4 linked regions of the Canis lupus familiaris genome follow. The protein of the gene in region 2 purifies or fractionates together with the protein of the main gene of each other region. This does not show direct contact. Links are inferred from orthologs where the notes say so. Each region holds a gene or a part of one and is shown on either strand. Other genes may lie near its edges.

What was found. Proteins that work in one complex are often made in the same cells at the same time.
Region 1: the proteins of NCL (region 2) and POLR1C purify together in Homo sapiens (affinity purification with mass spectrometry; 3 studies listed by BioGRID and IntAct, with this or other methods). This does not show direct contact. The link is inferred for Canis lupus familiaris from reciprocal best matches to the Homo sapiens genes NCL and POLR1C.
Region 3: the proteins of NCL (region 2) and RPL7 fractionate together in Homo sapiens (co-fractionation; 3 studies listed by BioGRID, with this or other methods). This does not show direct contact. The link is inferred for Canis lupus familiaris from reciprocal best matches to the Homo sapiens genes NCL and RPL7.
Region 4: the proteins of NCL (region 2) and NPM3 fractionate together in Homo sapiens (co-fractionation; 4 studies listed by BioGRID and IntAct, with this or other methods). This does not show direct contact. The link is inferred for Canis lupus familiaris from reciprocal best matches to the Homo sapiens genes NCL and NPM3.

What each region holds. Positions count from the first base shown.
Region 1 is NC_049233.1:12,166,440-12,170,547, reverse strand, and holds the start of POLR1C (DNA-directed RNA polymerases I and III subunit RPAC1), read right to left. Parts: upstream 2,801-4,108; 5' UTR 2,710-2,800; coding exon 2,641-2,709; intron 2,517-2,640; coding exon 2,445-2,516; intron 1,070-2,444; coding exon 962-1,069; intron 741-961; coding exon 608-740; intron 332-607; coding exon 212-331; intron 124-211; coding exon 1-123. Other genes in the region: protein YIPF3, read left to right, coding at 3,021-3,101, 3,724-3,921. UniProt on the Homo sapiens protein: DNA-dependent RNA polymerase catalyzes the transcription of DNA into RNA using the four ribonucleoside triphosphates as substrates.
Region 2 is NC_049246.1:43,521,457-43,525,719, reverse strand, and holds the start of NCL (nucleolin), read left to right. Parts: upstream 1-1,463; 5' UTR 1,464-1,610; coding exon 1,611-1,628; intron 1,629-2,779; coding exon 2,780-2,896; intron 2,897-4,078; coding exon 4,079-4,263. UniProt on the Homo sapiens protein: Nucleolin is the major nucleolar protein of growing eukaryotic cells. It is found associated with intranucleolar chromatin and pre-ribosomal particles. It induces chromatin decondensation by binding to histone H1.
Region 3 is NC_049250.1:22,367,157-22,371,162, forward strand, and holds the start of RPL7 (60S ribosomal protein L7), read right to left. Parts: upstream 2,801-4,006; 5' UTR 2,781-2,800; coding exon 2,767-2,780; intron 2,022-2,766; coding exon 1,913-2,021; intron 1,569-1,912; coding exon 1,402-1,568; intron 690-1,401; coding exon 552-689; intron 438-551; coding exon 328-437; intron 27-327; coding exon 1-26.
Region 4 is NC_049249.1:14,559,223-14,563,162, reverse strand, and holds NPM3 (nucleoplasmin-3), read left to right. Parts: upstream 1-1,284; 5' UTR 1,285-1,328; coding exon 1,329-1,446; intron 1,447-1,745; coding exon 1,746-1,831; intron 1,832-2,152; coding exon 2,153-2,272; intron 2,273-2,391; coding exon 2,392-2,485; intron 2,486-2,865; coding exon 2,866-2,978; 3' UTR 2,979-2,986; intron 2,987-3,079; 3' UTR 3,080-3,440; downstream 3,441-3,940. UniProt on the Homo sapiens protein: Plays a role in the regulation of diverse cellular processes such as ribosome biogenesis, chromatin remodeling or protein chaperoning. Modulates the histone chaperone function and the RNA-binding activity of nucleolar phosphoprotein B23/NPM.

The DNA of each region.
Region 1 (4,108 bases), on a different chromosome or scaffold from region 2:
CAATCTCCTGGCCAGGCCTCAGCTGAGCAATGAGGATATCATCATGCACGGGTCTGATCGTGCCCTCTGGGAAGAGGTCAGCCTGATTCCCCAGGGGCACCCATGTCATGTGCCTGGAGTACACTGGAGAAAGCACATCAGGAAAACATCAATCCTTAAAACTAGTACCCATCAAGAGGTGGGCCTTCCTACTCACCATACCACCACTCACCTTTGTGGTTCACATAGAGTTCATTGGGGTCAGAGGAATCTTTAGCAGCATGGGGGTTCCGTGTGCACCTGACTTGAAGCCGAAACTGCAGAGTATCTATCTCTGTGCCTTCATCATCCCCTGAACAAAGGATGAAAGTGGCAGCTCTTAAAGAACGACTGAGTATTTGAGTGCATTAATCTACACTTCTCATTTACTCCTCGGACAAATTTCCAATTTCAGAAGACCAGGGCAAGTGTTCACACAGATCAGAACTGATGTACCAAAACATTAGTGATTTGCTCATGGTCACAGTAATCAAGCCAGGATTTGAACGTAGGCAGTAGATCCTCTAGAATCTACTTTAGGAGACAGCTGTTCCCATTTTGCCACAATTTCGTTTTCTCAAGCGCTGACCTTGGTTCCGATACTCAAAAAGACGAGGATCAGCATGAATGGGAATAAGCCCCAAGCGATGAGCAAGGATCTCATCCTGGACAATGGATGTGTTGTTGTACACCAGGACCTTTTCCACAGCCATGGTTGGCACCTGCCCAAAAAATAAAATCATTCATCTACAGAGACCCTACAGACTCCCTATTTACTCCTACTTCCTGACACAGGGGGCCCTATTCCCAGAAAAACACCTGATGAAAAGTTCAGGAGGAATGCTCAGGAAAATGAAAGGAGCAACCTAAGAATTCTCCAAGTAAGGTGATGGCTCAGTTTCCACCCAACTCCGTCCCTGCCACCATGCCCACCAATAAATACCTCAGCTAATAAAATGCGTCGAAAAGCATTGGCAATGGCTGCATCAATTCCCACCATGTCGAACTCCAATGAGTTTTCATCCATGTGCACTACATCCACACGGAAATTCTACAGGGACAGAAAATGCACTAAATGAAGCCTTGGCCTCTGTGGAATCAATACCGTCCCTCTGGATATCCCCCAGCCCCAGCAACAATGTTCCCACTCACCCAAGAACCTCCCTTTGGCCAGATGTACCTCATAGCTGTTCCCTTCTCCCCCAATTCTTCATGAACTTCTTGAAAAGTTCCCATTTTTATCCTCTATTCATTTAAATCCTCCAACCAGACCACCCACAGAGACCATTCTACTCTGTCCTTTCTTACTAGACTCCTCCATCGGGCATTGATAGAATCCCTCCATTTTCCAACTCTGCCTTGGTTTCTGAGCACCAATCTTCTGGTTCTTTCTCCTCCAATGAATCCTTCTAAATTCACTATCTCCTACCCACTCCATAAAGTCACTATTTTCTGGATTTTTATCTCTCTCCAAAGTGACCTCAATCACGCTCATGGGTTTAACAACTATATATACAGAAAACTCCCAAATTCTCACTTCTCATCTCCTTTCAAACACACATTTTACTGGCCTGCTAGACCTCACATTCAGGAAACAATGCAGCATCATTCCCCTTCCCCAGACCTATTTTTCATCAGTAAATGGCACCACCATCCATTAAAGCAGTTCCTCAAGGTAGGTTATTTTATACTCCCTCCTCACAGCCCACATCAAAACAGTCACCAAATTTATCATGTCTCCTTTTTGCTCTACTTTCCTGATTATCATTTTAGTTCATACCTTCAACCTCAGCTCCTCTATGCAATTCTGTCACAAATCTGACTACCCTCTATGATCTTTCCCAACAGTTAAGGATGCAAATCAGATCACATCTGGCTCAGAGCTCTTCAAAACTTCCCCTATCACCTACAGTGTCTAAGATGCACTTCAATCTTGCCTAGCACTCATGCTGCCCGACTTTACATTCTAGCAATAATAAACTGGACGTTCTTGGAACACAGTTCACAAAGCCTTTATAATGTAGCTTCTAGTCTTCGTCCCCCCACCTTCACCCTTACCCTTTCTCAGATTTTACTCATCGTTCAGGGCTCAATTCAGATGTCATCTCCTGCAGGAAGGAAATCTTCCATACCGCTGCCCCGCTTTCCGTTCCAGATTAAGTGCCCCTCAGGGGTCACCCTAGTCACGACTGTCCTTTCTTATCGCTACCAACCACCTTTACATCATACTGGAGTCATTTATGCGTGCTCTTCAACAAGATTAAACATCTTGTTCGACGAACAGGGCACAGACCATGTACACGGAGGGCCTAGCATATTGCTCAATAAACGTTTTATGAACGCAGCGAATCCCACGGGCAGTTTCCAAAGCACAGGCCGCTCAGATCACACGATCCGTTCCCAATACCCTCTCCAGCCCCACCTACCTTCTCGAAGCGGTCTTGGTCCCAGGCATCATCATAGCCGGAATAGTTACCGGGAAAGTCGGTGGTATGAACCTAGACCAAAGAGAGACGAGTCTGCGAAGGGGCAGGTAGGGCAAACCCGCCCCAACTCCGATCCCAACTCATCCCTCCTGTTCCACTCTCATTTCTCTTGCCGAGTTCAAGGCCACGGGCTTACATTGCGAACCCCGAACTCCCCTAGAACCACGCGGGTCCGCATCTCTTGCACCGCCTGGGCGGCCGCCATCTTCTACCCCTCCACGTGACTAGGGCAGCAAACTGGCGCGCGCGTCCCAGTCGCCCTCCTTCGTCTCCATGGCAACGCACCGCCTCCCGGGATGTTAAATATCGCGAGATTCTGTGCAGCCTCCGTCCACGTCCCCAGCTTCCGGAAGTCGGTTTGGGCCAAACATCCGGGTTTCTCCTTTTTGCGTTCCGGCTGAACCCACCGCTCTTTTTCGCCCCTAGACATCTCCCTCCTTCAGGCCCACGTCTCTCCCACTCCTCCTCCGCGCGCGGGACTAGCGCGGGCTTCAGCGACGGGAGCCCTCGAGGGACATGGCAACTACGGCGGCGCCGGCTGGCGGCGCCCGAAGCGGGGCCGGCCCGGAATGGGGAGGGTTCGAAGAAAACATCCAGGTAATCGCCCCAGGGCTCCGGCTGCCGGCAGCCGCAGGGCCGGCAGCCGTCCTGAAGCGTCGCGGGGACTCTCCCTGGGAGCTTGGAAGTCTGCTCCATTTGCAACACTTGTCCTCTCCTTTGGCTCTTGGTGTACACGGAAGGTAGTGGGACTGGTGCTGACCTCAAAGGTCCAGACTGGTGCTCCAGCCAGAGGGCCTCGTGCCTCTGGGCCTGCCTGCTCTTGCTTTCGAGACAAGTTTGTTGGTCGATCGGGGCCAGGCATGGCGAGGGAGTGGGCGGTATTCACCGGCGCTGGCTAAAACCATGCTGTGTGCACAGCCTTGTTTGGGGATTGGAAAAGACAAAACGGGCACTTTTGCAGCCCTCTGAGGATTTGATAGGGAAGGTAGAAGAAAGACATATATGCAAGACAGGGGGTAGGTTTCCCAGGCTAGAAAAGAGAGCCAGACAACCAAGGATTCTGAGAGCAGATGAGGGGAAGAGAGTGGTATGATCTATGGTGATTCCAAGCCATATCCCCAGCAGTGGAAGAACAAAGTCCCAAATCCTGGGAGGAACGGAGGAGGACCCGCGGATGGAACAGAAAGGGCCTGCACTCTAGAAGCCATTGTCTTCACAGGGTGGGGGCTCAGCTGTGATTGACATGGAGAACATGGATGATACCTCAGGCTCCAGCTTTGAGGATATGGGTGAACTGCATCAGCGCCTGCGTGAAGAAGAAGTAGATGCTGATGCAGCTGCTGCTGAAGAAGAGGATGGGGAGTTCCTGGGCATGAAGGGCTTTAAGGGACAGCTGAGCCGGCAAGTGGCAGATCAGGTAAGCAGGATTGGATCCCTAGCAGGTGGAAAAGTATACTTAGGAAGGCCCCCAAGTGCTGGAGTTGATGTTAAAGTTCACCCCCATGTCGCCTAACCCATTAGAACTGTGTAGAAGGCCAATAGAAAGTGAGCGACAGGGACTATGGCCAAGAACCTCTCGCAGTACCTACCCACTTCACTCCGTC
Region 2 (4,263 bases):
AGGGGATTCCTGGGTGGCTCAGTGGTTTAGCGCCTGCCTTTGGCCCAGGGCGTGATCCCGGCGTGGAGCCTGCTTCTCCCTCTGCCTGTGTCTCTGCCTCTCTCTCTCTCTCTCTGTGTGTTTGTGTGTCTATCATGAATAAATAAATTTTAAAAATCTTAAAAAAAAAAAAAAAAAGAATTGCAAAGTAACTGGATGGTTCACAAGAATATCCGTGAGCCCCTGTTAAAACACAAAATCCCCGTCCCCAACCCAAACCTCTTGAATTAGAATCTCCACGGAGGAGCCTCTAAACAACAGTTCAATTGTGGAAATATACTGATAGCTGAAGGGATCCTGGTTTTGTAGAAACATGGTAGGTACTGGATGTCCAGGTTATGTCGCAGGCGGGCTCTGTACCGAAGGAAGTGCTCTGGGATGTTCGGCACTAACAAGTTTGCCCACAATGACCCATCAAAATAACTGGCAAAAGCAAAAGGCAAAGGCCCTTCTGTGCCTCCGCCATTGAGGGCACCTTTCCTTTGGCTCTTGGGACCCTTAGGTGACACGGAACCCTCCTCAGTCAGCACACCTTAAGGTATGCTTTAGTCCCAAAAAACAAAAAGGGAACTTGCGCGGCCAATGGGTCGGTGTTTGGCCTGACCAAGTTCCTCCCCCCGCCGCCGTTGTAACACCCGGTGACCACCAGAAAGTTATTCCTCCGGGCCTGTTCCTCGTTGGGACAAAAACCTAGCGCATGAGGTGGCTGGACATTAAATGTGGCGTTTGTGCAGCGCTCACAGACATCCGCGACCGTCTTTATTAACAGCCCTCAGGAGGCAGCTTCGGACACGTGGCCCGAAAGAGAACCACCTGCAGACGGCGCGGGGGGGGGGGGGGGGGGCGGAGGCGGGCCTCCAACCCGGGCGCTTTGAACCTCACGGTCCCCGAATTTCCGGAGGTCTCGGGCTCATCCGCGGAGGGAGAAGCGGGCGAACACTTTCTCCTCGGCCGCCGGGCGGCTCGGCGTGGAGAGCGGGTCGGAGCCGCGCGTAGGGCCGCCTGGCATCTGCAAGGCCTCCGGCGTCGACAGCACCCTGGACACTTTCGGGAACCGGAGACCACCAGTACCCAGCCTCCCGGGGCTCGGGAACAAGCGGCGCCAAAAACGGCCGTCTTACCGCGCAGGCGTCGCGAGCGCGGGCCGCGGAGGGGCACTTCAGGAACCGCGCGCCCACTACCCAATCAGCGCGGGCCCTGCACAAAGCGAGTCCCGCCCCCAGGGCGCCGCCACCGAATCCCCTCCCCCTCCCCTGCCCGCTTCGGCCCGCCCACTCCCGCCTGCGCCCCGCCCCGCGCCGTTCTTGGGTAGAGGCTCGCGATTGGCCCACGGGATGGGCGCAGCCTCTGATTGGTCGAGACGGAGTCACGAGGGCGCCGTCGTCGCCTTTCCAGAGGCGATTACTGGGCAGGCTCAGTCTTTCGCCTCAGTCTCGAGCTCTAGCGAGCAGCCAAGCGTACGCGCTCCGGGAACCTCTCGTACCCGCGGCCGCCATCGACGTCGCTTGGATTCTTCTGGGCTCGTCTGCGCCACTCGCCCGCCACACACTCCGCCGGCATAAGCCGCCATCATGGTGAAGCTCGCAAAGGTAAGAAGACGGCTTGCGCAAGCATGGACGTCGAGGCCTGCTTTCTGAGGAGCGCGCGCGCGGCGCCGCGAGGAGGAGGGCCTGCGCGCCGTCCCGGGCGCGTTCGAGGGCGCCATGCTGCGGGAAATCTCGCGCGATCGGCGGGGAGGTCTCGCGGCTTTTGGCTATTTGGTAGCGAGGTGAAGAGCTTCGGCAGGTTCCGCGGGTGGTTGGTGCGGCGCCGAAAGACTTAGGGACTGAGTGGGGAGGGGGCGCTGGGCCTCGGGGTGGAGGGATGATGCCGAACTCCTGCGACGGGCCCAAGCGGGGCCCCGCCTCCTGACGCACGTGCCTCAGCGCGCTGCCCGCCACGTGGGCCGCGCCGCGTGTGTCCCGGCGTCTGCGGAGGGGACTTGGAGGGGAGGCGGGGGGCTGCGGGATGGTTTCAGATGGAGGCCCCGTGGCCTGTGGGCCCCGGCCAGACAAGCGGGCGCGAGGTGGGCTTCAGGAGGAGGCCTTGCCTCGTGCTTTCTGCGCCCTGCTGCGCGCACATGGTGACCTACGGGGTATCCCCACGTGGCTCTGCCTGGTCTGGAAGGGGCGGGGTTTTTTTCCACGGGAAAGAACTTAATGGGGAGACCAAAGGTAGTAAGATTAAGGTCTGATTTTCTTTTATAAAAGTTGTCTTGAAGATCCTGCCCCCAAATTTGGATTCAGGCGACTGTGTAAGATCTGGTGCTAGAATTTACCAAAAGCTTTTTTTTCTCCCCCCCAGGTGTGGTTCTCCGCCCCCGGTGAAGGGCTATGAATTGTTGGCCGTTAAAATTGGCCAGTTGTAGTCTATTAAAATCATGCGTGATGTAATGGTCGGTTTTGGAAGTATCGTTTTAAAAACGGATGTGCTTAACGAAGGCAAAAGGAGGAGGGAGATAATATTGTTGTAGTTGCATTTTTATCCTTGAGTTTCTGTAAAACCTGACAGGAGTAATGGGGTGGGGGTTGGCAGTTGCTGTTTTGACGTTGGCTTCGATAGTGTTCATGTTAATTTTTATATCTAGCATTAGGAAATGTGGACTTTATGTAGGGAGACGGCTGCTTTTTACTCTGAAGAATGATGGCATAATATGAACGGTCAGATGTTTTAGGTGTAATGTGCTAAATGTCTATTTTAGGCTGGTAAAAATCAAAGTGACCCCAAGAAAATGGCTCCTCCCCCAAAGGAGGTAGAAGAAGACAGTGAAGATGAGGAAATGTCAGAAGATGAAGATGATGACAGCAGCGGAGAAGAGGTAATTATATACAACTTTATGGAGACGTGTGTTAAACTATGAAATGGAGAGCTGAAATAGCTGATACTGGATGTATGAAAATATTGGCAAAAATAAGATTATATTCATTGAGTATGGCCTGCTGAGACTGTTTTCCAAGCTCTTCATTAACATGTTGATATAGGTAAGTATTTGAATTTGAGAGAAAAAATTGGGAGTCCTTTTTTCATGTGCATTTTTTGTAGGGCTTGGTGTTATATTTGTGTTCAGCCATGACATTTTTCTAGTTTGAGTATGTTAACCCCCACCTTACTAGATAAACAAACAGCCTGGACTATTAACTGTTAAGTAAGTGGCACTCCTGTGCATTTATTCAGGTCTGAGGTTAGCTTTACCAGATTACTTTCCTAGCCTCCAAGCAGGATTGATTTGTCTCTCATTGTATAAGAGCATCGTGATACTGGTTACTGAACATCTTGGTGTGGGTTGAGCGTTGCCACCTCACTTTGTGTTAACCTATTACTGTTTGCTTACTGTAAAGACAACTATTGTATTTGTGTTTAGATTTCTTGTTTAGGATGTAATGAATATTTTACTGATGATATGGTACCCAGTAAAACTAGGAGTGAGCAAAAAAGTATAATTTTAATGTAGATGAACGATGGTTTTTATCAGGTTTAAGGTGCTTACTCTTTACTAAACTTAGGAAGAGCTAACTATCCAGTGTATTTGATACTCATTTACTGGTCTTAAGAACAAGCCTTCAATGAACCACTGCCCACTGTAGGACCTCTGAATGATTCAGTAGCATCTAACAAGTAGAGCTTTCTTTGTGCAAGACTTCTAATTACATATATATGTCAACTCCTAATCTAACAATATGTAAGGTTGGTGCTGTTATCCCTTACAGAGGAGAAAAAAAGTCGAGGCTTAAAATTTTCTTAAAGCCTGTTTTAAAGTTGCAGTTATAATGTGTGAGGTATTTTAGCTGTTAAAAAGGGGCTCTATATGCTTGAGTATTTTACCTGAAGATGAAGGCTGTGATTTCTGGCACATGGTTCTGTAGTTTAGCATGCTAACATAACATCCAGTGCATGTGGGTCTGAAACCAGAACAGTGTTAGAATTTAGTCTCATTCATGGGACCAAGGCTGTCTTTTTGGGTTTGGAAGAAGACTTACCTTTGGTTTTATTTGTTCTTTAGGTTGTTATTCCTCAGAAAAAAGGAAAAAAGGCTACCACAACTCCAGCAAAGAAGGTAATGGTTTCCCCAACAAAAAAAGTCGCAGTTGCCACACCAGCCAAGAAAGCAGTTGTCACCCCTGGCAAAAAGGCAGCAGCTACACCAGCCAAAAAGGCGGTTGCACCAGCCAAAGCAGTAGCAACACC
Region 3 (4,006 bases), on a different chromosome or scaffold from region 2:
CTCCATGCAGATGATGCCATATTTACCTGAATATTTTAAGATCATTAAAATCGTTAGCTGTTTTCACAGATTATGTTAGGATATTCAGCAACAACAACTACTGTCTGAGAGACTTTAAATCAAGAGTAAAGAAACAAAAGGGAAATACATGGCTACATTTACCAAGATAAAGCTTGACCCACTGAAATCATAACTTACATTTTCCATAGACTTGTGCATTGTAGGGCATATGGCTAAGATTCATAACAGAACGTAAGGCCACAAAGTGCCAGAAAATGCCAACTTTGTCTCAAAGATCAAATTTCACCTCAAACAGGCAGAACTTACCAAGAGACCGAGCAATCAATGTGTTATCTGTCAGGGCAATTCGCTTCTTGTTGATCTTGCCATAACCACGCTTGTAGATCAATTCATTCACTGACTTCAGGTTTGGGTACCTGAAACGGGAAAAACCAGACATAAATGGCCAAAGGTTATCACCATTAGAATACTTAAAACCCATCTTGCTAACACAGCCAGTTCAGAAAGAACTCACGGGAAAAGAGACTTACCCCCATGCTATATACGGTTCCACAATCCTTAGCATGTTAACTGAAGCCTTGTTGAGCTTAACAAAGGTGCCATTGAAGATCTGGCGAAGGCGAAGAAGCTGCAACACCTTTCGAACCTTTGGGCTCACACCATTGATACTGCAGCGAAAAAAAAGAATTCACTGAGCTTTATCAGAATTTATATTAATAAACGAGGAATTAACCATTATAAATTTCGGACAACTCAAGTCCCATCTAAACAAGACTCTTTTCACATTACGAAGACCATTGGCGTTTTTCCTTTAGTTAGCTGAACTATTCTATCCCCTGACCCAACCTGCCTCTTCCACAACAAGCAGGCTTTCTGTTAACACGTACCTTTTGACATTTAAAACTTGTCTCATTTCCTTGTTTTGGATACAAGAGTACCTATGAACCTACACTTTAGCCTCTATTTTAAAAGATTTTATTTATTTATTCATGAGACACACACACACAGAGAGAGAGAGAGAGAGAGAGAGAGGGGCAGAGACACAGGCAGAGGGAGAAGCAGGCTCCATGCAGGGAGCCTGATGTGGGACTCAATCCTGGGACTCCAGGATCACACCCTGGGCTGAAGGCAGCACTAAACCTTTGAGCCACCTACTTTAGCCTCTTTTGAATTAAAATTCAAATACCCAGTTAGAGAACAGATAAGGGCTTTGGGCCCAGGGCTTGCACAACAAAACCATCAAAACACCACCTCATGTCCTAGCGACACCAAAATCTTTATTCTAGTGTTTCAGAAACAACGGCCCCAGAAGTTACGAAGTTCTGCTGAGACCCTGTAGACTTCCCTTCGAAACCAGGATGCAGTTAAAACCCAACTTACCCTCTGATCCTGATGACAAATGCCAACTTGGGTTCTGCAGGCACGTAGAAGTTGCCGGCTTTTCTCGCCATCCTCGCCATGCGAATCTCAGTTCTGTACATCTGCCTGTATTCCTTGTGGTAATGCTTAGCCTTTTCATAGATAAGCTTCCTCCTTGCCTTTCGAAGCTGGAAACCAAGACCAGTTATTCCCCCGATTTTTAACTCAACACCATTAGCCCTTAACACCTAAGGACCAGTTCCTTAGCGGTCCTCTTTATTGCCAACACCAGTTCTACAGAGGGAAAAAAACGTTCCCCTGAAACCTCTTCCTTGCTGTAGGGTGCATGAATTATTTCCAAGCACAGACACCACCACCTTCATTTACTGTCGCTCTGAAGAGCTAATACTAACGCCCAAGCTCACTGGTACCCGGGGGGGGTAAAGAAGCCTCGCTGAGAAGGAAGCCCGATTTTCAATCCCAACCCCAAGGCCTCTCTTTACACGGAGAGGTGCCCCACAAGTTGACTTACCATCTTTTGGGCAAACTTTTTTCTCAGACGCTTGATCTTCAACTCCGCGAAGTTCCTTCGCTTTTTCTTAAGGGTTTCCGGCACAGCAGGAACCTTCTTCTTCTTCTCTCTGGCATCAGTGAACACAAACTGACCAACAGCTCCAACAGCACACGCACGACCCCGCACCGCTGCGCGTCCGTCCCGAGCTTGGTCATCGAGCCATACCGCCGTCACTGGCTCTACAACCTCGCCCCTTTAGCTTCTCCAACGTGCTGTGCTGCAGGATGCAGACTTCGGCGGGGTTCTAGGCCAGGGATCCTCGGCCTTTCAACACGAGGCCCTCCGAGACTACAGCACACTCCCAGCGAATGCACGGTCAGTCCCGGGCTCCCAGTTAGAGCCAGCACGGCAGAGACCGAGGAACCTGCTGCAGGACTCGATCTACCCCTAGACTCTTCCCGAGTCTGCGCGTGAAGAGCTTAGGAGTCTCAGGAAAAGACGTTGTGAAAACCTCCCAAGCACCGCCCTCATTCAGGTCTGAAGTCCCACATGCTGAAAGCAAAGGCCTGACGACAGGGGCGACCGGGCCAAATACCAGGCAACGATGAGCCCAACTGAGGCGTTCTGAGCCTCCCACCGGTCGCGCACCTATTCGGCTCTCATCCCTCGTTCCCGGTATCCCAAACCTCCGCCCCAAGGCCGCCTGCATCCCATCTTGGCCTGGCGCCCCCCCACTAGTGTCACAGAGCGTCACAAACACACAGACAAGTGGGTAAAGGTACAGGCTACAGCCGGATCGAGGGAAAACGAGACAAAAAATCCCCAGTTTCGTGGATGGAGAAGGATTATCAAGCGGACGAAGAGCAACTTACTCTGCACCCTCCATGGTTCCAGCCGGAAAAAGAGGAAGTTGGCGCATGCGCGCTGCCCACTTAAAGACGACAAGCGCGAAGCCCCACAACTCATAGGTGTCCCGGGATAAGCCAGAAAAGAACTCGCAACTGAGAACTCTCGCAGACACAAAATTAGGTGCTCCCTGTGTCTGCCTCTTGCGATCAAGTTTCGGGCAAAATTCGTAGGAGATAGTGCGTGCACCGATTAGACTCTTTAATCAGCATCACAAGAGCAAAGAATGCTGACACCTTGACTCCTCGGGGTCCTAGTCCCCAGGCTGCGCGGACTCGAAGTGCACCCGGCGATGGACGCAAATAACACGCCGCACCGGCGTGAACTACAAGTCCCAGCATGCAGCACTCTCACCGCCCGCCCGGCCGGAGGGCGACGCTCGACCGGGGGCTGTAGGCAACCACGGCGGTGGTGAGTTCAGCCAGGGAAAATGAGAGCCTTTCGGCCCACATTCCACAGGGCTGGCTGCGAGTCCAAGTCGCGGCCGAGACCTGTCTTTTGACGGCCCTTCCCGGCTGTCTGCCATCGCTGGCCACAAGCCGGCACCCCGCGGCCGCGCTGCCGAGGTCCTCGTCTCGGTTCCTGCCAGCCTGCGGGGCTGTCTTCCTCAGCGCCTGATCGCAGGCGGGGCCGTCCAGAGTCCCGCTGCTCAACCACAGCGGCGAGATAGGGACTAGCGCCGACTCGACGGCGGGAGGAGGATGGCCCGGGCACTGCGGCCCGCCAGGCCCGGCAGGCGGAGGCCGGGACACCCTGCGGCAGGGGGCGTGAGCTGCGAAGGGAGGCGCGACGGGGGCTGGAGGCTGCGGCCACGGCCATGTGAGAGGGGCTGCCCCGCCGCGGTTCGGCGGACGGCGGGCGGGGGGCTGGGCCGGGGGCGGGGTGCGCCCGGGGGCGGGGAGGGCCGAGCGGAGGGAGGGCCGATGCCGCTGCCGGCTCTTCCCGGGCGAGGGTTATATAGCGCGGAGCGTGGAGCCCGCTCAGAGGCGGCCGGGAGGGCTCCGACTTGCGGGCGGCGCCGCGCTGCGGAGCCCAGTGCCCGAGTGACAGCCGCGGGGAGTGCGGGGCAGGGGACGCGGGAGCGCGGGGGCGGCTGCAAGCCGTTGGGCAGCGCCCCGCCGCGCCGGGCGAGTCGCCCCTCCGCGGCGCCCCCGCCGCCCCGCACCCCACTCTCCCACCCTTTCGCAACTTGGGTCAAGTTGACAA
Region 4 (3,940 bases), on a different chromosome or scaffold from region 2:
GTTTAGATCACAGCTCAGTTCCTGTAGAAAACGAACTGTAAAACTATCTGAAGACCATGCAAGAGGCAAAATAAAACTTGAAGTGAATGTGGTGTGGTGGTGTACTGTGTAAACCTACTTGTTTCTTCCTGGTGGTACCTTTTCTCCTGGCTTTCATGCCTCATCTACAAGCAAATATTCTCCACAGCTGTTCCAAGTTAGGGGCTGCACCTTCCCATTCTCATCACCAGTAAAAGACTTCCAAATTTTCCCCAAGGCAAGGTAAAATATAAAAGTAATTCTTGGCCAAGCCACCCTCTTCCCACAGTTAATAGCTTGGGTGTGAGTTAGGGCAGCTAGTTTAAATGAGTTCCCTGTATCTAGTGGAATAAGGAACAGTTTCACAGTTTATCGGGTTCTTTGGTCAAAAGGTGAATGATGGGGGTTGCGGGGAGTTGCCCAAACTATGTGACCGAGGAGTCTAAGGTGGGAGGATGTTCTGGATTGATTCAGAATTACAAACTCCAAAACGTCTGCTAGGAAGAGCAGCCCCAAATCTGAGATGATGTCCGTCAGCATCCAGCCAGCACCTGAAGCTCAAAGATAGGCCTTCTGGGTAGTAACCTTAAGATGTTAGATTAGGAAGAGGACCGAGTGGTTCCATAGTTCCAAGAGAAAATACCATAGCTGAAAAGTCTTTCAGGATCCTCAGCTCTAGGAGCAAAGGCAAATAGCATATTTTTTATGCTTTTACAAGAAAAACGCAGTCCTGGGGGATGCCTGGGTGACTCAGCGGTTGAGCCTCTGCCTTTGGCCCAGGGCGTGATCCTGGAGTCCTGGGATCGAGTCCCACCCACATCGGGCTCCCTGCATGGAGCCTGCCTCTCCCTCTGCCTGAATCTCTGTCTCTCTGTGTGTCTCTCATGAATAAAATAAATACTTAAAGAACCGCTGCCCTGAAATTCGCCTTTACGAGGCGGGTGTTGGAAGGGATTCCACTTTTCTACTTTGGAAATAATAACGAACGCTTACCCTGGAGTGGAGACAGCAGAGGCTGCGAAGAGCTAGAGAAAATGGAGGCTGGAGCCACTCCATGACCACTCGAGAGCCGTAGTCATGGAAATAAGGATATTAACATGAAAAAGATCCACTGCTGTTACTTTCCTGCAGTCCTAACAGAAGTCTGACCGGGGGCCGCGCGAGCTCCCAGGCGAGGCAGCCTAGCACTGGTTGCGCCTCGGTCCCTCCCCTCAAGCCCAGCGGCTCCTTTAATGGGCGGGGCCGGAACCCGCCGCGAGCTCCCCGCTCTGTACGTGTCGGGGGCGGAGCTCCCAGACGGCCCTTGCAGCATGGCCGCCGGCGCCGCGGCCGCTTTGGCGTTCCTGAGTCAGGAGAGCCGAGTCCGGGCCGGGGGAGTCGGGGGTCTGCGGGTCCCGGCTCCGGTCACTATGGACAGTTTTTTCTTCGGTATTGAGGAAAAGAGGGCATGAGGGTGGTGCTGGGGCGGCCAGGGGCAGGGCTGAACAGGAATGCAGATGGGAACACGACGTGGGTGGGGGCGGAGGGGGCCCGCACGCGCAGCCCAAGCAGACGGGGTGGCGCGACCCCTGCAGCACATGTGCGGGGTGGAGTCCAGGGCCGAGCGCCCTAGGTGTTCTCGAGGAGAAGCGGGCGCGTAGGCGGCCGCTCGGACCACGACTGCACGTTCAGAGGTTTGGTGGAACGCCCCTCACGCACACTCAGACACACACCGTTCCCTCTTCCAGGCTGTGAGCTCTCCGGCCACACCCGCTCTTTCACCTTCAAGGTAGAGGAAGAGGATGATGCGGAGCATGTGCTGGCCTTGACCATGGTGAGGTTTGCTGGGAAGGGTGGTGAATAGCTGGTCCTGAGCAGGCACCTCGGGGGCCTCTACCTGTCCCCCCAGTCCCCTTTACTGAGAGTCACCTCCTCTGCCTGACAGAGGCAGCTTCTCTTGCGAGGTGACTTTCATGTCTTTCATGCCTCATCTACAAGCAAGTATTCTCCACAGCTGTTCCAAGTTAGGGGCTGCACCTTCCCATTCTCATCACCAGTAACGGACCGCTTGGGCGGGGCAAGTTCTAGGGTAGATGCCTCCCCTTGTGTCAGCCCTTGTTTGGGGAGACCCTAAGGCCTTGTGTACTCTTTCCAGCTCTGCCTCACCGAGGGGGCCAAAGATGAGTGTAACGTAGTAGAAGTCGTGGCCAGGAATCACGACCACCAGGAGATTGCGGTCCCTGTGGCCAACCTCAAGTTGTCCTGCCAACCCATGGTGAGTTCTGCCCAACCAGGTGATGGAGGTGGTGGTGTGGAATCCAGGACTGAAGGACTGACAGACTGATTCATCACAAGATGGGGCAGGCCAGGCCTTCATCCTTGTCTTCCTTCCAGCTCAGTTTGGATGACTTCCAGCTCCAGCCACCTGTCACCTTCCGCCTGAAGTCAGGTTCTGGTCCTGTGCGGATCACTGGGAGGCACCAGATTGGTGAGAGTCTTCTCCTTTGGATCTAGTGGATTCCTCATCAGGTCTCCCACCCCAGTCCACACTCCTACCCCATCCCAGCCATATCTCCTAGTGCAGCTCCCATATGGGCCGTACCGTCCACTGTCTTCAAGCCTACCTCCTGCATGAAACCTGCCCCAGTGTCTCCACCTCCACTAATGTGGTCTCCTTTGGCTCTCTGTCATCTTAGTATTGGAGGTTCTTCCCACCCAGGTCATCAGCTCTGGGAGGTCAGGGTCCCTGCAAGCTTAGCACCACAGGGCATGAATAAATGGCATTGGGGGTTGATGGGTGGGTTGGGGAGGCACCCCCCAGACATGACTTTTCGTTGCACCTCTTCCTTATGCTTATGTGTCCACCAGTTACTATAAGTAATGACGTTTCTGAGGAAGAAGAGAGTGAAGAAGAAGGTAGTGAGGAGGAAGCTGAGTTGTGCCCCATCCTGCCTGCCAAGAAGCAGGGGGGTAGGCTCTAGCCTCTTTGGTGAGTTGTGGGAGGGGTGTCCAGCCAGGTCTGGGACGGGGTAGGACCAGCAGATGAAGGCCTAGATGCTGACCCCTTGTTTGCTCTCCTTAGGTCTGCTGTTTGCCTGCCACATGTGCCATGCACCATGTTCCTATACAAGTTTCAAGAAATTTAAATATGTCTTCTCCATTGAAGAGGAGGGGTGGGGATGGGGGGATCTTGAGCTGGTGCTAGGAGAGAGTCTGGTTGTATCCTTCACAGGACCCTGGTGTTTTTCTAATCTTATGCCATACCTGGGGCTTCCCTTTTCTCCATGAATGGGAGAAACTCTGAACTTCTATCCTCACCCTCTCTCCCCACTTGCCTATGAGATTGGAGATCAGCATTTGAAGCTCAGGACTACACATTTTTAATAACTTTTTACATTTTTGGATAAAGGCTTAAATAAAGTGATGTGGAGTTTTGCAACTCACTTGTGTGACTTCTTTACCTGCTAGTGTGGTATTCCCCTAGGGACCACCAGGTGGCACTGTGGCAGCACCGAGGGTGGCCCTAGGCCTGGGGAGGGTGAGGAAATACGGGATCCTGCTATCCCTAGGATAGCAGGGGGGGGGGGGGGGGGGGGGGGGGGGGGGGGGGGGAGGCCAGGCTCGGGCCCCAACTATCTTGCTAAAAGAGGACCTCCCAACACCAAGCCCATTCCCAGTCCCATAGGTGGGGGAGGGCCATCCCAGGAGGTTATCAGCATCCAAACAAGGGACCTGGGCCTCTGTCAGCACTCAGGCTGATGGGCAGGGGGGCAGATAAGGGGGCTTAAGTAGTCCGAGGAATGTGCATCCCTAACCCCATGAAGGGGCTCAGGCCCTGAGAGGGCCTGTGAGGGGTAAGGCAGAGGCCAGTCATTGCCCCTCCTTCGTCTTGCAGGCTGTCTCTGAGCGGGTCTGGGCCCTTAGAAACCTGATTCCGGGGGCC